3 linked regions of the Drosophila melanogaster genome follow. The protein of the gene in region 1 interacts with the protein of each later gene in a pairwise test. Each region holds a gene or a part of one and is shown in the gene's direction. Other genes may lie near its edges.

Region 1 (6,291 bases):
CCCGCCCCATAGTGCATTTGCTATTTTCTGAGATCCCCAGACAGACAGATAGAATGGGAGAAGGATAAGGCTTTGTTCCCCGTTGGATTCCAACTTCTTCCCGTCGAAACCTGTCACAGTCTTGGCTGCCTCAACGAGTCCTTTCGATGCTGATGCATCGGCGGTCGAGGAACCGAGAGGAACACAGAATCGACTATTTATATGCATAAGTATTTTTTGATGTTTCGTTCGATGTGGTTAACTATAACTAGCCTAAGGTATCACTACTATTACCACATACAACCTATACATATATAAATATATATAGCATAACTACATATAGCGACTTTTTCCTAAGTGTATTTGCATCTGCATATAGATATCTATATTTATATTTATATCATACGAGAGAGGCGTAATCCGAACATGAACAAACACAACCAACAAACAGATTACATGAAACATGCAAAAAATGAAAGGGAAAAAAACGAATCAAACTCGATACTGTAGTGTGTTGATTTCTTTGTAAAAAAAAATAAAAACTAAACGTACGAGAAATGAAATTAAGAAAAGATCGAAATGTATGAATATTGTTTAACTAAATGATTAAATTATGCAAGTAGAACGTACAAGATTAGCATTTAGCGTGTGTATTAATTATCCTTATCTGTGTTGCGGATGGAGCTGCGCGGGATTTGCATCTAAAAGACAAATTGGGCGCGCCGCCCATTCAATTCTTATAAATATAAATATATATTATGTGTATCTAAATCTATATCTGTGTGTGTACTACTCGTATCCGTAGTTTCTACTTTATAAGTTCTCCGTGAATGACTACGATGAATTTTTCGGCCAGCAGCCGCACATTAATTTTAATTGTTTCTAAGCATCAATTTGTACTTTAAATATTTATACGCATATGCTGCATATATGATATGATAACGATGGCGAGATATATATGTAATTAAAGGATTATCTATGTGAATGTGGGTGTGTAGTAATTCACTAGCCGCTTCATAGACTCTACACGCGTGATTTATGGCACTTAATGTTCTGTAGCCTAAGCCCAAAAAAAAAGAAAAACTGAATGAGAAAGCTCCCATCTGGCCCTCAAAAATCCCGCTTCCTATCCCAAATACACATTGATTCTTTAGAATTTATAAATAAAACAAGTATTGATTGTAAATATACCTTAAAGCGAGTCTTTTGTATTGTAAATTAGTTCCACTGATTGATTTGGTGGCCCTGCTTAGGTGCTTTGCCACCAAGTTCGTGTTATAAACATTAATACATAATATTGTAATTTACTATATGTGTTGGCAGCATTTGCTGTTAACCGCAAACGAAATGCAAGCGATTTACCGAATAATAGCAATTTGAATTATGTCTTCATGTGTAGATCGGCGAGTGTTTTCCTTACACTCATTTAGGAGTCGCTAGGTTTTTTGACATTCTTAATGCAATTTGTAATCAAATCGTAGGAGGCATTCGACTCACGGATACAAACACACAACATAACAAAACAATTAAATGGGATTTAACAAATTACCATAATGGCTTATGCAACGGTACAAGCAGAGTTTTATACAAATTATGTATTTTAGAGATGGATAAAGCGCATTGAATTGAATTCGAAACAATGAAATTGTATCTAAGCAAAGAATGTAATCCACAAAATGGCTAACTAAAGCTAAATCAAGCATTCAAATATGGGCGGACGAATATGAACAAAACACATAACTAGCGGCTAAGAAATTTCAACAAAATATAGTACACATATTTAAAGTATACAGAAAATTATAAAAAACAAAAACAGCTTTAGATGTGAATAAAAAATATGTAATTAAATCAAAACAGCACTTCTTTTGTTTGGGTCATATACGGGAACTTCTGATGGATTAATAATAAACGTTAATTTTGTTTAGGAATGAAGTCTTTTTTAATATCATTAGTTGCTAACGAATTAATCTAGTTATGTCTATGCACTGCCTAGGGGTATGATGAAGCTCATATAGTCCGCTGTGGCGCCCCAGGCTGTGCGATTTGTCTGGAATATTATTATCCAGGCAGTTAGTACTATCAGCCAGAATAGAGTCCCCACTGCAGAGTATATAACATCTGGAGGAAGGTAGGAAAGAAATTGTGGAATATTAGACTGTATGGCATGGGCATCTATTCATATATTGACTTACATCTCTTTATTTGGCTCTGCTCCGAAAATGGTGGCTTATGGAAGGCCTCCGTGAAAAACCAGCAAACGTTAATGGCCCACACAAAGGGCAGAAATGCAAAGCCAGCTAAGTTCGAGACAAATAGAAAGTAACTTGGTTAAAATCCAATCATTACTCATTGGTAGTAACTCTTACCAAAGAAGTATTTGCGACACAGCTCCAGTTTTCGCGGATTTGGTGCCTTTGAGATGTCCATGATTAATCCTCTTCAAATATGTGGGTGTTTGCTCCTTTGTTTTCGAATCTGTTTCCGGCCCAGGAAAGTTTTTTCGTACTTATATGTAAATTGTATGTAATATGTAAATTGTAATAGCTTATATTTTCACTTCAATTTTTGCTTTTGTTGATTTGTGTTTTAGTTTTTAGTCCATTGGAGCGCAATCGATATCGATAAGTTATCGAAACAGAGGTGAGCTAAACTGCGACTCTTGGATCACTGTTTCATTTGCCAATATCTAACGTAAATAACGATATAATAATATAGCATAGATGTTTTATTACGTTTGCACGATTTTGCGATGTGTGCGATGATTAGTATGAAACATCATTCCTTGTGTTCCCTTTTTTTAAAACGCCAAAACTGTTACAAGTCAAGCCCACTTCAGTGTTGTATATCCCCTAAAACAGAATCATCGATAGGTAATACTGCTGCCATCACTATTTTAGCACACACCGCGTAAAAGCGACGCCGATTTCAATTTTCAACGAATTATTAAAAGTGTGCGAAAAACCATACAATGGCCGATGTGGACGATTTTGATTCTCTGTCCAATGCTGAGTTGCGCGCCAAGATGCTGGCACAGGGGCTGCCCAACATCCCCGTGACGGATAGCAGCCGGAAGGTTCTAGTAAAGCGTCTGCGCGCCTCCATTGGTGGCCAGGCGTCGCCGGCCGCTAGTCCCAAGAAGACCAACAGGCGGGAGACCCTGGCTCCCGCACCTGGTGCACCATCTGCTCCGGCGGCAGCCTCCACGCCGGTGGACAAGCTGGATGGCAACAAGGTGGCGCCCGCCACAAAGGCTCGGCGCACAATTACCGCTGCAGAGGCCAAGGAACCAGTGCGTCGATTACCCGAGGAAGCTATACGCCGACGCCCCGACGAAGCCGACCGCCTACGATCCGAGGAGCCCGTTGCCGCCAGGAAGCCAACAACTGCTCCTGCTGCTCAACCCGTACAGACCCGGCGCACTTCCACCTCCTCGGGGTCTGAAAGGAAAGTAGTGGAGCCCTTGAGGAAGCCAGAAACCATTGTTGAGCAACCGGCTTCCTCGAAGCGCGCTGATCGAGAGGAGAATTATCTTAAGGTCAACTCCCTGATTGTCCTAGAGTCCGATGAAGAAGAGGACGAGCAGCTAGTCCAGGCTGCAGATCTGGTGGAGCAGGAGCACGCGGCCAGACAGAAGACCACGAAGCTCGCAAGCAGCGGCACCACTACGTACGAGTACAAAAGCAAGGTTGTGGAGCCTCCACGCCGACAGGTCTATGAAGCGACAGCAGCTCCCGTGCTGCCGCCATCTGTGCCATCTGCCAGAGCGCAGACCACCAGTTCCACCAGGTCCTATGACTATGCGAGCAACCCAGCACCCGGTCGCTATAGCAGTTTTGTGCGTACTGCAGCCCAAGGCTATGTGACTGCAGAGGCTCCGCCGGTGGCCTCCTACTCATCCAGCTACAAGCGTACCTATGCTAACGAGCTGAGCGACGACACTGATTCCAAGGAAGACCAGTACGAAAGCACATTTGCCAGGAATCTAGCTCGTTTGCGAGCCGAACGGATTGGAGATCGCATCAGCCCGTATTCCAGACGCACTCTGGCCAGTGGAAACGCGGGTAGCGGTTCTCTCGGCTATGAGCCGCGTGCCAGGCGCTCCTTGCGCCCGAATGATAACAGCGTATCCGAGGCCTTTAACCGTTGGTTGAACAGCCTGGAGCAGAAGTATCACATCAAGTCGAAGCTGTTCATTGTACTCCTCGTCCTTTTGTTAATCGGCGTTTATTACATATTCTACTGACCGGCGCATCATTGTTCTTATTTCGAATTTGTAATCTAGTTTGTATACCATGTTGGATATGTTTTGTAAACAAGACTGCCGCCGCGGTCTTTGTATGAATCTTGTTTTGATGTAACTTGAGCTTGAGTTTGACTAGCATTTAAGCTGCGTGTTATCCGTGTTCAAATAAAGCCCACTTGCAGGGAATCTCCACAGTTGAACACTTGCTCTGATGTTTTTTCTCCAAACGGCTTTCGATTCACTGCGCTCCACTTGTGGCAGGTGTTTGCCCAGATTGGATCAAGAAACAGCAGCAAACGACGATCGGCTAATGATGGAAAAGTATCTGGAATGCGTGTACAACACTTGTCGGCATGACTCTGACCAAATGTAGGCGCAATGGCAACCAGGCAAGCGCAGCTCTTATCTGAGCTAAATTGTTCCTGCTGCGATCTGATCTGCGATCCTTGCAATGCCTTGCAATCAGAATTAATAAGAATTTTACAAGTCGGCTCGGCGGCCGGTGTGCGTTATTTTAAAATCCTTGCCCGAGTTGGGCTGTTTAATTTTATTAACTGGAAATCGCACTTGCGCGTATTTCTTTATTTTCTTAAGGAAATTTCGCGCCATATTTAGCGGTAACAAGCGCGACCGGATCCGGGTCTGACTTGCATGCCAGCAATAAGTTATGAAAATTGCAACATCAGTGGCTCGGGGGAAATGCCAGTTGTGCTGGGGATGTTGCTGCCACGGCTGCCACGGCCGCCACGACCGCCAGTCGCCGCCGATGATGAATTCCACAAATGCATGGAACAGCCAGGCGGCAGATTCCTTGAAAAACAAAGCCATGGCCCATACAATATATCGTGTGGCTAATAAATACGCCGCGCATTGCTAGTTGCTCTTAATGAAATTAACTTCCAGGAATTACCTACATGGCAGCAACGATGCAGACGACAACCACGATCACTTTGACGACTGTCCCGAAGTGCAACAAAGCAACTGCAACAGTCGCAGCAACAGTCGCAGCAATTCGAAAAGGCAACAATGGCTGCTTAGGCAAATGCAACAAGCCATCGGCCATGGAAATTAAATGGAAGCCTGCAAAAAGTTTCACGCACTCGACACGTTAATAGAGTCGTAGCACCCAGAGCAACATCAGGTCCACCAGCTGCAGCAGCAGCAGCAGCAAAACCACCAGCACCAACACCCAACACCAGAACCCCGCAGGAACATCAGCGCCCAAGAGCAACACACCCGCGTCCCAGCAGCTTCCCATCTTCGGTTGCCGCCGCTCAAGTGTGACATTCATGGAATATGATTTTATGGCCAAAACCGAAACTTTTGTCTGCATCACGTTCGCGGCTGGAGGGAAAACAAGGAGTGGGCTAGTAAAACAGCCGGATGGTGGACTATGAAGGTGGCGGTGGTGACTCGACTGCCTGGCTGCTGGGCCAATGACTTCCTCGTTGTGAGCCAATTAAAGACGCTGGTCGTTGTGGTCGCTGCTGAAATCATTTGTAATGCAACGTTTGGAATAATTCACGCGCAAATTGCTTGCGACTCGCGAAAAATATTGCAACATTCCACTGCAAATTTTACGATTATGCGTTTGCACCACAACACAAACTGTTGCTGCTGCTGTTGGTCGCTAGTTGCTGTTGCTGCTGCTAGTTGCTGCTGCTGTTGCTAGTTGCTGTTGCAGCAACACATTCGCTCGTAGGCGCTCACATCACATCAAATCAAATGTAAGCGGTGCCGGGCATTCAACGCTGTCAGTTGCCAGTGCTCCAGATAGATAAATCAGTCGGCTAATTGTTCCAACCTGGCCGGTCTCCAAACTCAGCGCCTGGGAGCGTGAACTCTGCTCGGAAGGATGTGGGTACATTTCTTAGATGGGTTCTAAATTTCTAGAATTTGAATTCCTAATCGAATCATGTTTGCCTCTACACATAATTAATCGTAAGGGATGACATTTTTATGCAAAGACCCAGAGATCAAAGTTGAACATCGAAACATCGCATATGTGGAGAGATTGGACATTTTAATTCCATAAATAATGACAGTATGTCTCTAAACAGACAGTCAGT
Region 2 (7,664 bases), on another chromosome or scaffold:
TAGAAGAGACCTTTTTACATGTAAACAAGTGTGGAGAGGAATAAATAAAACAACGGTACAGCAACACCCACACACCCACACCAACCCAACTGTTTCATTAGTATGCGTGCGTGGGGTCGTTTTATGCGTTGTATTTATATTATTTTGGAGGCTATGGAAAATATGAAAATCAACAAATTAAGCAATTCTGCGCGACTTTGCGACTGCGCAACAAATTGAAATCAACAAATATGACCCAGAAAACAAAGTAAATGCGCTGAAGGTGAAATCAGGAGAAACGGGGTACAAAACGGAATGTAATAGCAGTTGTTACTTGTGTTTTCCAGAAACAAGTTGCTTCCTAAAATGAGCAAAAGTGTTTTTGAAACGAAAACAAGTAGTTTTATCCGTCGCACATATTTTATTTTTGGCTGACGCAATTCCAAGCCAGAGCACGCACACTCCCAAACCAATCAAGTTGCTGTGCTGGTGTGAGTGTGTGTATGAGGTAAAAATCCGAATGGGAACAACATACACACATACAAAGTCTTTGTTTGCAGCTCGCGTGTGTGTACGATGGCAAGGGAACTTTGGAAGCGGAACACACAAATTGTGGGGAGAACAACAAAGGAAAAGGGGAATATGAAGTAAAACAATTGACGCAAATTGGAAATAAAACAGATATGCAAATGGGGGAAGGCAATAGGAATGGGTTTTCTAGGCGAATAAGGCGGTGCCAAGGAAACAAAGGCGTACATTAGTCTCATTACATATGTATGTTGTACAGCTTGCATAAAAAGCACAGCCCCTCAAACACACATACCACTGCAAGCAGCATAGTTCCTCGCCCACCCCTCGTTCGACCCTCTCGCTCACTCTGTAAGCAACGACCTACGAATAGCGGACCCCAAATCCACTCTCTCGCTTACACACACAAACACCAGACAAACAGCTGTGAAACAAATGGAAGCGAAACAAACACGTAAATGAACGAATTTTGTATGTATGCCTAATATAATTTCTTTTTTCCTACAAACAAAATCATCTGATAGATGAAGAAAAAAACCTTGATTCTCTTTTTGCATTTTATCGACTTTTCCACTCTTAAATAAATTTAGCATTTTCTTACGTTTTTACAGCCATTTTGTTGTTTTGTGTTGCGCAGGAATGTTGAGATGAACTTTGTTTAGTTGTGAATTTTTGCTTCTATTGCACTCGAAAATAAGTGAATAAATTGGCTGGCAGCTTTACGCTTATTCAATTGCGTCAGATAGTTAGCTATAAAACCTTGTCGTTGGCCATTTAAGCTAGTTGTTAACTAATTTGTACTGCGTTTGTATCACAATTGGAACTCTGTTTATTAGGCTGGCATTTTATCCTCAATTTTTCCCGTCTGCGGATCGATTTTTCCCACACACACTGGGCTGAAGGTGCTTGGGACTTTTCTCCATCAGCTGTGCATTTTCCTCCTGCTGATTTTTTTTAGTTCTGCTTTAGCAAAGCTTTGTACGTTTGCACTTGGTCCTTTTCAATTTCTATTTTCTATTCCTAAGCAAACAAACACATTCAAACACTCGCGCTCGCAAAAACGGTACTTCTCCGCTTTGTTGTTTTTTTACGAATGAAGAATATTGTGAGCGACCAGTGTTACCAGTAGGCCTACAAGTTCCACAGATTTGGTGCGAACTGAAATTTGTACTATAAAATACCCTAAGCCAGCGGAAGCGATAGTCCCTCACTATCGATGTGTATGTTATTCGATTCTCTCTGTTAACTAACATTTCGCTGTAATGTTATCGAACCCTAATAAGCCCGCAATAATTCTTTTTTGATGTCGAACAATTTTGAACACCGAACTCAAATAAGCCCGCAATAATTCTTTTTGGTGTCGAACAATTTTCAACACCGTAAGCCTGATAGGGATTAAATAATAACTTTATGCTTCTGAATGCGGGATGTAGACAATTTTATGACAAGTGATTTAATTAGTTAGGGAATTAAAAAATATGAGGGCAACAAATCCTCGAAGTTAAATTGAGTTCCCAAATTACTATTACAAATGGAAGCTTCTGTTTTGGCAGGGAATCGCAAACTTCCCACACATAATTTCACAATCAATGTCATTGCCAAAATATAAACATATTTACATATGTACGCCGCAAATCGAAATTCCGTTCAGATAAGCGTTGAAATTACGCATTTTGATAAGATATTTTGAAGATGGAAACTACGCAGCAAACTGTTTTACAAAAGCCGGAGAAATGCATTTCCGGCGAAAAGGAAATTCGTTACTGTTGCCAAGTGAACATTTTCAAGAGAAGAGGGGAAGGGGGTGGTCTATTTCAGGCCCCACTACACACACATGCATATTTCTAGAAACAACCTGTCACACAAACGACTCATCAACGGCAATTTTTTATGAATGAATTTTAGCAATTAAAGCAATGGAAAGAAACTTTTCAATGGGAATGCGAAAACATCAATTAACTTGTTGCACAAGATGTTCAGCCTTCGATTTTCCCCAATCTCAACGATAAGAAACTTTCCTCAATTTCGTCACACACACACACACATGCGAATGGGAAAAAACGCGTGGCGATTGATTTTCGGCCTTTCAAAAAGTTCGTTTTACGCACTGAACAGCCCGCGAAATGAGTGTAAGTCGGTGTAACAAATCTCATGGCACTTACCCGGATGCCTCTGCGTTTTGATCAGTATCTGCTTTTCTTGCTTCTTATTTCCAAAAAATATAAACTTATTCTCAAATCAAATCTTCGAGAACTGACCAAACTAGGTGTTTGTAAAAATCCAAGGTAGGTATTTCGCGCTTTGCCCATCTGGCAACGCCCGCCCATGTTGTATCGCGAAACGGTCACTCTGCACAGCCGCAACAAAATAAAAAAGGAAAAAAAGGCAAATTGGCTGGAAAACTGGATTTCGTCGGGCGGAAAATTGTACTTTCGAGTTTCCCAAGCAGCCAATTAAGTGCAAACTATGAAATTCCACGAAAAACAGTAAAAGCCAGTCTCTACCAAGGATTTGAGCAGGAAACTTCTCGCTGGGCGTGTGTGTGTGCAGTGCGTGTGCCAGTGTGCGTAAAGAAGGAGGTGGAGAAGACGAAGGAGAGGAGAGTTTTCGCAGGGAAATTACGCCAACTTTGTGGGAGTTCAAGTCGAGTTAGTTCAGCGCGCGCGTGTGTGTGTGTATGCGTGTGTGCAACACCCCCCAAGCCCACTCACACAAAGCCATCCAGCCGCCGTTTGTTTTGTGCTCACATTCGCGTGCCGCCTTTGTTTGGCTTTTCTTTGGCCAGTGATTCTACGCCTTGTTTTTGCCCGCCGCCGGCTTCGATTACGCCTGCTCCAGCCACCGTACGATCCCCACTCCGCTCTCCGCCGCTCACGATCCCCATTCCGGATCCGGATCCAGCAACAACGCCGCCGTGGATGCCCATGCTCGCACTCTGGGCTCGCTCGCCCAGGACTTTGGCATGGGCGGCGGCTCGGGGGCGTGTCCGCCCGCCCACATGTACGGCGCCGTAGCCCCGCAGGACAGTAAGTGAAGTTCTCTAGAGGAGCAGCAGTCATAGTGAACTCCTTTTCGAGTTGTTATTCTAAAATCGATTTGTGGCCAAGTATTGTGGACAATCCTAAATCTTACCGTAGCATTATTATTTACTGTTGATAAACTTGAAACTCTTTGAAATTTAAAATGAAATTGGATTGAGCTGTACAGTATCCGTTGATCTACTAAAAAAACTCAGAGCTAATTACCCCCACCATCTGCAGTAATTGTCCGGGACATGGTGCAAATGCCGCCGCCGCCCTCGAACGCCCCCACATCGGCGGACGCCTGTCTGAGCATCGTCCACTCGCTGATGTGCCATCGGCAGGGCGGCGAAAGCGAGGGATTTGCCAAGCGAGCCATCGAGTCGCTGGTCAAAAAGCTCAAGGAGAAGCGCGACGAACTGGACTCCTTGATCACGGCCATCACCACGAACGGAGCCCATCCCAGCAAGTGCGTGACCATACAGCGCACCCTCGATGGTCGCTTGCAGGTAGGTTGAGTCTCTCAGACTTTCTGCATCGAATTTGATAATGTGTATAAGCAATGAACTTACCACTTTACCATTCTCTATCGAAGGTTGCTGGACGCAAGGGTTTTCCGCACGTCATATACGCCCGGATTTGGCGCTGGCCTGACCTGCACAAGAACGAGCTGAAGCACGTCAAGTACTGCGCCTTCGCCTTCGATCTCAAGTGCGACTCGGTGTGCGTGAATCCCTACCACTACGAGCGCGTCGTCTCTCCGGGCATCGATCTGTCCGGCCTGAGTCTGCAGTCGGGCCCCAGTCGCCTGGTGAAGGACGAATACTCAGCGGGTCCGCTGGTGGGCAGCATGGACATCGATGGCAACGACATCGGCACCATACAGCACCATCCCACGCAAATGGTGGGGCCCGGCGGCTACGGATATCCACAGGGTCCCTCTGAATATGGTAAGACTACAGTATTGACATTAATTCGATATAGTTTGAGTTTTCGATACTGGATTTCTTGATAATTTTTCTATATTATTTATAATTTTAAACTGAATTGTTCATTTTACTTAATTGTTTACATTCGTTTATTTCTTTGGTTTTAATAATTTATTTATATTTGTTTCCTTTTGGCGATTTTATGTTGACTTTGCGTAGTTGGCGATGCCAATCCCATGAGTGCAATGTTTCCCACCGGGCGCACAATACCAAAAATCGAGCCCCAGGATGGAGTTGCTGGGTCGCGTGGCTCTTGGATGGTACCGCCTCCCCCCCGGCTGGGTCAGCCCCCGCAGCAACAACAGCAGCAGCCGCAGCAGCAAACCCCGCAACCTACACAGCAGCAGCAGGCACAATCGCAGGCAGCTGCTCACTCACTCCGTAAGGATATGGCCTTGATTATAGTTGAAGCTTCGAAAATCGAATTTTAATTACAATTTTTCTCATATGTTGGATTTTAAACTATTATAATATTTGTCTTATTAACAATTAGTTGAATACACATTAATCTTTTCCCAAAATCAACTTTCAGCTGTGCCTCACGGTATGCCGGGCATGCCTGGTCCAATGAATCCCGGTCCCGTGATGGCACCCCCACCCCCGCCGCAGCAGGCTCAGAATCCCCAGGGCAATGGGGTGCACCATACCCAGGCCAATTCGCCCACAGATCCCGCCTCCGCACTGGCCATGCAACAACAGCAGCAGCAGCAGCAGCAGCAACAACAACAGCAGCAGCAGCAACAGCAGCAATCAGGCGGTGTGCCCAATGGATCAGTTAATGCCGGCGGTGGAGCAGCAGCTGGAGGGCAGTACTATGGACAGCCACCTCCTGTTAGTCAGATGCAAGGTGCCGGTGGGGGTGGCACCTCGGTGGCCCCGTCCGTCCACGCCCAGCAAAACGGCTACGTGTCGCAGCCAGGATCCGCGGGCAGTGCTCCCGTTGGAGGTGGTGGCGTCTTTGGCACAGCCCAACCCACACCACAGCAGCCGCAGCAGCCACCGACCGGTGTGCAGGCCAATACTGGGTCTGCTGGGGCTCAGGCTGGCGCCGGAGGCGGTGCGGCTGGCACCTGGACAGGGCCCAACACCCTCACCTACACGCAGTCTATGCAACCACCAGATCCGCGCTCTCTACCCGGGGGCTTCTGTAAGTCTAGGCTATGTAGCCCACTGTGCGACTTTGTAATCCCTGTCCTTCATTTTCCAGGGAATTCGTCGCTTTCGGGTGACCTCGGCTCCCCGCAACAGACGCCTCCGCAGCAGCAACAACAACAGCAGCAACCACGCCTCCTGTCTCGCCAACCGCCGCCGGAATACTGGTGCTCCATCGCATACTTCGAGTTGGACACGCAAGTGGGCGAGACCTTCAAGGTGCCGTCAGCGAAACCGAACGTAATCATCGACGGCTATGTGGATCCCTCTGGAGGCAATCGATTCTGTCTGGGCGCCTTGAGCAATGTTCATCGCACTGAACAATCGGAACGGGCCAGGTGAGTACATCCCCCTGGGAGTAACTTGCAGAGCAGGGATTAATTACCAAGTTCCATGCAGGCTCCACATCGGCAAGGGCGTGCAATTGGATCTGCGTGGGGAGGGCGACGTCTGGCTGCGCTGTCTTAGTGACAATTCAGTTTTCGTACAAAGCTATTATCTGGATCGCGAGGCAGGACGCACACCTGGCGATGCTGTGCACAAGATTTATCCGGCCGCGTGCATAAAGGTTGGTGCAATCAAGAGAGTTTAATGTGATAGCTTAACATACATTTTCTCATGCAGGTGTTTGACCTGCGCCAGTGCCACCAGCAGATGCACTCGCTGGCGACCAATGCGCAGGCAGCGGCCGCTGCTCAGGCGGCAGCCGTGGCCGGAGTGGCCAATCAGCAAATGGGCGGCGGCGGAAGGAGTAAGTAGATGGAATCAGTTTGATTTAGGGAAAACTAATGTGTTGATGCGGTATTCCAGGCATGACAGCAGCGGCTGGAATTGGCGTGGACGATCTGCGCCGGTTATGCATCCTGCGCCTGAGCTTCGTCAAGGGCTGGGGACCTGACTACCCACGCCAGTCCATCAAAGAAACGCCCTGCTGGATCGAGGTGCACCTGCATCGCGCCCTGCAGCTGCTGGACGAAGTGCTGCACGCCATGCCGATCGATGGCCCGCGTGCCGCCGCCTAATCCGTATTTATTATTGGCCCACATCTATGCTAAGGACTCAGTTTTAGCGGCAGCTATCCGTCAGCTATTTGCGGATTTTGTGTTTTTCATTTGCAATTCTGATTACGATTATGTTTGCCTTTGATTATTTGATAATAATTTTTATAAAAAATTGAAACAACTTAGAAGTCTTAAGTATGCAGCTGTAAAGCACTAAGCATCTAGTTTTATGTACTATACTTAAATATACGCCCACACAACACCGGAGATACTGAACAAGCGGCCAATGTTTGTTGTCCATTTCCTGCCACGAAAATTACAAATTAAAAAAAAAAAAAACGAGAAGCATACACAGCATTACAATCATCCAAGCCACAGGGCGAAACAAAAAGAGACATCGATGCACCCATAAATACATTCATTTGATGTAAAATGCAGCATAAATAAGGCAAGCGAAACAAGTAGATGTAACATAAGTGTAATAAACAGACCGTGAAATTACGATTCTAAAGGCTTCTTTTCACTGATAGCACTGCATACGCAGATCCACCTGCTGGTCCAGCCAGTTGATCCAATCTGGAGTGATAGGTCGCTCCAGGGTGACCTCGTGGAAGATCTCCACTCGACGCGTCTCCACGAACATAAAACTCTTAAACAAATGCAGCGATGCAGCGTTGTCCATGTCGATCTTGACCTCGAATTTATCCAATTTAAGCTGGGGCTGCGATTGGGCGTACTTGAGCATGAGGAGCATGGCTTCCCTGCCGAATCCCTTGCCCCGTGCATAAGGTTCGGCAATCATGATTTCCGCCTCCGCCGTTGGTATCTGGCTATCGGGATCTTGGTGCAGGAAGAGATTGGTGTCGCCCACCATGGCGGCAATCTCATCCTGATCACGCGAATAAGTCTCTGCATCCAGGACAATGAAGGTCAGCTTGTCGCTGTCCTCCCTCCAACTCCTTTGCATCTCGTGCTCCTCTTCTAAGGTCAGTTCC
Region 3 (7,702 bases), on another chromosome or scaffold:
AAATGTGAAACAAGTGGGTTTTAGAATCCATTCCCAAAATAAATACATTACTTATAATTCCGTTTTTGTTTGTCAACACATTGTCTGAATAGTTTTTATTTAGTTATAAAGTAGAGTTTTAAAAAAGGTTTTAGGTTTGTATCTATTCGAAGTGCATAGTCTTGTTCCGATTAACATGCACCTTCGAGCTCTAGCGTCCCTCAACTGGAAAAGAAAATCAAGTTAGCACTGCTGGTGGCTGGGGATTACTCATCATTGCAACTTACTGTATGTAGAGAGATCGATTTCCTCGGGCAGCTCACTGATGTTCACATCGAAACGATCCTGTACTTCGTTAAGTATCTTGGCGTCGTTCTCGTCCGAAACGAATGTGATTGCCAGTCCCTTGGTGCCGAAGCGACCGGCACGGGCCACGCGATGCAAGTAGGTGTCGGAATCCTCGGGCATGTCGTAGTTGAACACGATGTTCACACGCTCGATGTCCATGCCGCGGCCAAAGAGATTGGTGGCCACCAGAATGCGCTTCTGGAAGTCCTTGAACTGCTGGTAGCGATTCAGACGCTCCTCCTGGGTCATCCCACGATGGATGCCGATGGCGGGGAAGTTCTGCTCCGTCAGCAGCTGCGACAGAGCCACGCAACGTTGCACAGACTTCACAAAGATGACCACCTATGACAGGGATAATCAAGTAAGTGGTAAATATAAGTTAAGACCACCGAATGACCTACCTGATTGAACTCGAGCACGTCGAGCAGTTCGAACAGTTTCTTGTTCTTCTCGTTCTCCTTCAGATTGACGTAGTGCTGCTGCAGTCCGTGCAGCGTCAGCTTGGCCTCATCGTCGACGTAGACCTCCATGGGCTGGATTTGGGAAATAGAATGTGGCGCATTTTAAAGGACACAATTAGGAGGGGTACAGAGAAATCGAACTTAGACTAGGCTCGCCTCGGAACATACAACAATATGCATAGAATATTCTACATACGGCCACGCTACCACCACATCTCATCAACTAGTCTCTGAACTGCTCCCGAGGATCGATGATCGCTCTGAGAAGTGTGCGGATTACAGATGAGCGGGCCTATCGCATCGCATTCGCTCTGGATTGATTCAACTCGTCTCATCGGCCAGTCGGCGGGATCTTTGCTGTTTGCTTGTAGTTTTATTTAGGTATTGGTTTTTGCTAGCGTTGGTATTGTTAAATCTTTTGCGATTTCAATTGATTCATTCAGCGGTTACTGCTTGTTTATGCTTTTGCAACGGTTGCCAATTTCCACGATTAACCATTTAGAAAATGGTGTCCGATAGTCATTAACTAAGTTTTTCGATACGAGTTATGCTCACAGAGCGCTGGACGTTTGGTTGTACGCGTTTAACCATTTGCAAGATGGTGGTTGGCTTATACGGAGGGGATCAAGATCGAATGTTCGATATCGCGTGGCATTAACAAAATAATAACTAATTGTCGTGATAGCGGTGGATGCGAGGTGGAGAAGTACGAGCATTTTGGTTATGAACACGTTGATATTTACATCTTGCATGAACTTTTTGCAAACGGGACGAATGTCCTTGCTCAATGTGGCAGAGAACATCATCACTTGTTTGCCGTGCGGCGTGCTACGGAAAATCTCTTGAACGTCACGACGCATATCTAAAAGAATGGTTTGGTTATTAGTAAAACGTCCGTCATTTGGTGATTATTAGTCAACTTACCCAGCTGCTCCAGCATCTTGTCGCACTCGTCGAGCACAAAGTGCTTCAAAAGCTTCAGATTAAGTTTCTTGTTGCGAATGAGGGCGAGAATTCGGCCAGGGGTGCCCACCACAATATGCGGGGTGCCGCTCTTGAGGGTCTCCTCGTCCTTTTGAATAGCCATTCCGCCAAAGAAGACAGCCACCTAAATAGAAAACATATCGAATTAATATATAGTAACTATATAGTCGAACCAAACTTTTTGTTGAATTATATACAATGGATTAAAACGTAGACTCACCTTGACTGTGGGCATGTACTTGGAGAATCGCTCATACTCCTTGCTGATCTGGAAGGCCAGCTCGCGGGTGTGGCACATGACCAGGACGTGGCAGGTGTTGTTGTCCGACGGCTCCAGCTGCTGCAGCGTGGCCAGAACGAAGACGGCGGTCTTACCCATGCCGGACTTGGCCTGACAGAGGATGTCCATGCCCAGTACGGCCTGCGGAATGCACTCGTGCTGAACTGCAAGCGGAGAGCATCGTTAGTGACTGTACCTTTCGTCACTCCAGGTGGAGTGCAAGTACTCACCCTCCGAGGGATGCTCGAAGCCGCAGTCCACGATGGCGCGCAGGATCTCCGGTTTCAGGAGGAAATCGCGGAAGCCGGAACTGTGAATGGACACATAGGTGCCCTTGACATCCTTCTTGGGGGCCTCCTGGTTTTCGACCGCAGTGGTCTCGGTCTGCTCCTCATCCTCGTAGTCCAAAAGATCGTCATTGTCGGCCATTTCTGCGGCTTTCTTACCTTTAACTAGTTATCGGCTATAAATTCGCAACTAAATGCTGGGAAATAAAATGGGTGCGACTAGATAAGTTACATGTGTTTGTTAAAGAAAATGCCGCTTTTTTTTGCGGAACCGGTGCCGGCGTTCCCTCCGCCATTTTGTTTTTTCACCGCACCGCATTACATGTATTTCGAAATAAAACGAAATACCCATTACAAGCGACGATTTTATTTAGTGCAGTGTGATTTTCAGTGTCAAACTCACCTTTTGTGCACGTTTATCACTTTAAAATACAGCTTTTAAAGTGAAATTAACTATTTTAAAATCTTTAACGTGATGCGGAGGAAAAAACAGCGCAGAGCAGTGTGACCGAAGTACGTTTAAGAACTCATGCGAGCTGAGCCGGGTGATATCGTTAAGTTATCGATAGTTGTGCACAACAAATCCATTTGTAAGCTTCAACTAAAAAGTTTTTATAAAATATATGCCTTCTAACGCTTTAAATTAAAATGGCTTGTTGAGCTTAAATTTAATTTTTTTTTTATCATTTTGGGGTCAAGCGGTTCTTAGTCTTTTATCTAGCGCGGCGTTTGGTCACACCAGGCATGCCGGAAAGTTATCGATTAGTCTCTGAAACCATCGCAACAAATTCGATTACACGTTCCAGCGTCGGCCGCGTTTTCCTGCTGCAAGATACTTCATTTTCAAATTTGTGCATTTTCCGTTCGTTATAAAAAGTCAGGTGAGTTGCGCTGCTATCTACGAGCATTAGGAAAACTTGTAGAAAAAGTTGAAATAACTGATTAAGTGCCGAACAATAGAGGCGGCACTGTTTCACTCAAAATCGAAATAACCCCCCTGCCTGTATTAGTGTAAAGTCGCTGTAAATATTGAATTAAAATCGCCATATTGTGCAATTTTTGGCTCCTTATCAAATCGTTTAAAGTGCGTCGACTGGATTAGCTAAGCGTTGCGATTGATTAAACTAGTATTAGCCGCGCCATTTGCCTCCACGCCCATAAACAAACGCCGACAAACTCACTTCGTTTTCCTCGTCCGCTTTAGTACAGTCGCTTGAGTGGAAAGCGATGTGCGTGTGTGTGAGTGAGACGTAGAGGAGACTGCGAGAGAGAGAGAGAGCGCGTTAGAGAAACTCGTTTAGCTTCTGTTTTTGAGCGTTTTGTGCGTTTCCCCTCTTTCGTGTTCGGTTCTGTTTGGAATTTTATCAGGGCGCAAAAATAACATACCCTACACCGAACGAAAAAGTTCAAATATAAGTATTGCATATAAAACGCGTTTAGAAGGCACGCAATTGTGTTATTCAACTTTTCTTCAAGTGTTGTGTCCTAAAGAGGTCAGTCACAAAAATCTCACGTGTTATTCTGCACATTTCATTTGTCTTGCAGCGTGAACATGTCGAGCAAATCCCGACGTGCTGGCACCGCCACGCCGCAGCCCGGCAACACCTCCACCCCCCGGCCGCCATCGGCGGGTCCGCAGCCGCCGCCGCCGTCCACTCACTCGCAGACGGCCTCCAGCCCCCTCAGCCCCACCCGGCACTCGCGCGTGGCCGAGAAGGTGGAGCTGCAGAACCTGAACGATCGCCTGGCCACCTACATTGACCGGGTGCGCAACCTGGAGACGGAGAACTCCCGCCTCACCATCGAGGTGCAGACCACCAGGGACACGGTCACACGCGAGACCACCAACATCAAGAACATCTTCGAGGCCGAGCTGCTGGAGACGCGCCGTCTGCTCGATGACACAGCTAGGGATCGCGCTCGTGCCGAGATCGATATCAAGCGTCTCTGGGAGGAGAACGAGGAGCTCAAGAACAAGCTGGACAAGAAGACCAAGGAGTGCACCACTGCTGAGGGTAAGTGCGTGGAAACTGAATCGATAAGAAAACCTTATAATTGTAGGGCAAAGAAAGTAGAGTAATGATAAAATTAAAAGTAAGAAGAGACAAAAGGCGTGGTTTCAAGCAAGAACGAAACATTCATTTAGTTGCTGAACTGTATATAATGATTATCCCATGATATTCCTCACTTTCTGTGACAAAATCATCCCTATTCTGGCATTTAACGAACATTAATTGATTGATTATCCCAACCCGCAGGCAATGTCCGCATGTACGAGTCGCGCGCCAACGAGCTGAACAACAAATACAACCAGGCCAACGCCGATCGGAAGAAGCTTAACGAAGACCTGAATGAGGCGCTAAAGGAGCTGGAGAGACTGCGTAAGCAGTTCGAGGAAACGCGGAAGAACCTGGAACAGGAGACACTGTCGCGCGTTGACCTGGAGAACACCATTCAGAGTCTGCGCGAGGAGCTCTCGTTCAAGGATCAGATCCATTCGCAGGAGATCAATGAGTCGCGCCGCATCAAACAGACAGAGTATAGCGAGATCGACGGTCGCCTCAGCTCCGAGTACGATGCCAAGTTGAAGCAGTCGCTGCAGGAGCTGCGCGCCCAGTACGAGGAGCAGATGCAGATTAATCGCGATGAAATCCAGTCCCTCTACGAGGACAAGATCCAACGACTGCAAGAGGCCGCCGCACGCACATCCAATTCCACGCACAAGTCCATCGAGGAGCTGCGCTCCACTCGTGTGCGTATCGATGCGCTCAACGCCAATATCAACGAACTGGAGCAAGCCAATGCCGACCTCAATGCGCGGATCCGTGATCTGGAGCGCCAGCTGGACAACGATCGCGAACGCCACGGTCAAGAGATAGACCTTCTCGAGAAGGAGCTCATTCGGCTGCGCGAAGAGATGACGCAACAGCTCAAGGAGTACCAGGACCTTATGGACATCAAGGTTAGCTTTAATACTTGTCTAAAATCGTGTACGTATTAATACATAAATCTAATTATCCTGCTTAGGTCTCCCTGGATTTGGAAATCGCCGCATACGACAAGCTGCTGGTGGGCGAGGAGGCTCGTTTGAACATCACCCCAGCCACCAACACGGCCACAGTGCAGTCCTTTAGCCAGTCGCTGCGCAACTCCACGCGAGCCACGCCATCGCGTCGCACTCCCTCTGCTGCCGTGAAGCGCAAACGCGCCGTGGTCGACGAGTCGGAGGATCACAGCGTCGCCGATTACTATGTGTCCGCCAGTGCCAAGGGCAACGTGGAGATCAAGGAGATCGATCCCGAGGGCAAGTTCGTAAGGCTGTTCAACAAGGGCAGCGAGGAGGTGGCCATCGGTGGCTGGCAGCTGCAGCGGCTAATCAACGAGAAAGGTCCTTCGACCACTTACAAGTTCCATCGATCGGTGAGGATCGAGCCAAATGGCGTGATCACCGTTTGGTCGGCGGACACCAAGGCCTCGCACGAGCCGCCATCGAGCCTTGTGATGAAGTCACAGAAGTGGGTCTCCGCCGACAACACTAGGACGATTTTGCTGAACTCCGAGGGCGAGGCCGTGGCCAATCTGGATCGCATCAAGCGCATTGTGTCCCAACACACATCCTCCTCCCGGCTGAGTCGTCGTCGCAGCGTGACCGCCGTGGACGGCAATGAGCAGCTCTACCACCAGCAGGGCGATCCTCAGCAGTCAAACGAGAAGTGCGCCATTATGTAAAATCAAACGCAGCACAACACAACTCTTTCCTCTTTGCTGAACAAGACAAACAAAATAAGCACACACGAAGATCATAATTTAGAACCCAAAAACACACACACCGAGGTACAGAGATTTATTATTCAGCTAAGTTATTTTTTGTGGCCGCAGCGCCAATTATTTAATCAAAAACATTTGTGTAGAAGACATCCTGAATCTTCGTTTCGTTTGTACACTTTCGTTTTCCCTTTCTTAACAAATTCTATAGTTTATTGTTTCGATGTTTTTGTATTTCCGCGTTAACTAATCTATTGTAAACTTTATTTGGTATAAACTGGAGAGGCATGTTGCCTCTTTTTTATGCCACATAGAATTTACGTAAGACGTTCACTTCTTGTATTCGCGGCGGCAAGAACTTTGAAAATATTGCAAGAAAAACAATATTTTCGATGTACTTACGCTCCACCTACATATTTAGTAAATTAGTTTTTAAGCTATATCCCAGATAAACCAGTCGACGTCAGCAAACAACAACAAAAAAAAAACAACGAGCACGTAGTGAGTGATTTATAAGATACAGGTCAAGAGGATTAACTAAAGAAAACAAACGCTCCTGACAACAGACATATTTATTTAAGTATTTTTTGTACAATCAACATAAAATACATTATACATTATACATACATATACATACATACATTATATATATAGACTCATGCCTACGGAAGTGACAACCAGCCAGCAATATATATTTTTAGCCATGGCCATAGGGTTTACGATCCACCAAAACGGCTTTCTCCCGGTTTAGACCGGTTCTTGAGCTTCCTGCAGACATTTTACCGGACGAGCAACAATAAGAACAGCAACAACAACAACAGCATTAACAGCAACAACACAAATGTACAACAATTACAAAAGCAACAAAGAAGAAAAACGAAAGAAAATGGAAGTACACGTAGCGGCTCAGCGATCCGTCGCATTTTTTATGGGTGGGCGTGGTCGCGTTTTACGCCGGCCAAACAAATGCAACGCCCACACAGACTATTATACAAAAACTGATGAATACAACTAAATTTTAAGTACATCTACGTTTATGTATGTAATTGCTAATAATTTGATAATTAAAAAATAAAGAAACCATGTTTAATAAAAATTAAAAACAAACTTTGATTTAGCAATAGAGAGAAAGACATAAAAAAGTATTAAATAGTTTTAAAGCGTATACTGAAACCAATAAGCTCCTACGAATTTCGTAATAGTAGGGTACGCATTTCACTTTCGACGCCTGGTGGCCCTTTTTTCGTCACTCGCTTTGCGTTTCTATTCGTCGCCATGAGTTATTTTTGGAATTTTAATTTTTCTGCGTCTGTATTAGTTGCCTACATGCTTTTTCAATGCGTGTGTTCGCTCATAAACTTTATTTTTGAGTGACTTATCGATTATTTTTGAGTGCAGGACGTTTCAAAACCAACGTGCTTTCGCATTTATAAATATAATTTCTCTTCTTCTTCCGACCATGATTGTTTCTTTTAAAAATGTTAGGTGTCAACCCTGTCGATAGAGAAGAGAGCAAAATCCACTCAAACGAAACGCACTCAACGCGAGAGATGCGGTTAAAGTTCGTTCAACTGGCAAATGCAGTGACCGTTTAACCC

What was found.
Region 2: the proteins of Ote (region 1) and Med come close enough for resonance energy transfer, tested with the Drosophila melanogaster proteins (one study listed by BioGRID).
Region 3: the proteins of Ote (region 1) and Lam interact in a two-hybrid assay, tested with the Drosophila melanogaster proteins (2 studies listed by BioGRID).

The regions. Positions count from the first base shown.
Region 1 is NT_033778.4:18,273,736-18,280,026, reverse strand, and holds Ote (otefin), read left to right. Parts: upstream 1-2,849; 5' UTR 2,850-2,947; coding exon 2,948-4,222; 3' UTR 4,223-4,420; downstream 4,421-6,291. Other genes in the region: pen-2 (presenilin enhancer), read right to left, coding at 1,958-2,097, 2,172-2,276, 2,346-2,406. UniProt on the Drosophila melanogaster protein: Inner nuclear membrane protein. Involved in the attachment of membrane vesicles to chromatin during nuclear assembly, and is probably required for centrosome maturation and cell cycle progression during mitosis.
Region 2 is NT_033777.3:31,608,212-31,615,875, forward strand, and holds Med (medea), read left to right. Parts: upstream 1-2,834; 5' UTR 2,835-3,469; coding exon 3,470-3,533; intron 3,534-3,767; coding exon 3,768-4,036; intron 4,037-4,099; exon of another isoform or gene 4,100-4,122; coding exon 4,123-4,477; intron 4,478-4,675; coding exon 4,676-4,897; intron 4,898-5,048; coding exon 5,049-5,663; intron 5,664-5,723; coding exon 5,724-6,006; intron 6,007-6,067; coding exon 6,068-6,236; intron 6,237-6,292; coding exon 6,293-6,419; intron 6,420-6,478; coding exon 6,479-6,690; 3' UTR 6,691-7,164; downstream 7,165-7,664. Other genes in the region: Mnat9 (microtubule-associated Nat9), read right to left, coding at 7,190-7,664.
Region 3 is NT_033779.5:5,539,441-5,547,142, forward strand, and holds Lam (lamin), read left to right. Parts: upstream 1-3,039; 5' UTR 3,040-3,220; intron 3,221-3,338; exon of another isoform or gene 3,339-3,884; 5' UTR 3,885-3,891; coding exon 3,892-4,354; intron 4,355-4,597; coding exon 4,598-5,301; intron 5,302-5,366; coding exon 5,367-6,068; 3' UTR 6,069-7,202; downstream 7,203-7,702. Other genes in the region: Hel25E (helicase at 25E), read right to left, coding at 191-204, 267-669, 729-860, 1,532-1,650, 1,713-1,896, 1,993-2,216, 2,283-2,481. UniProt on the Drosophila melanogaster protein: Lamins are components of the nuclear lamina, a fibrous layer on the nucleoplasmic side of the inner nuclear membrane, which is thought to provide a framework for the nuclear envelope and may also interact with chromatin.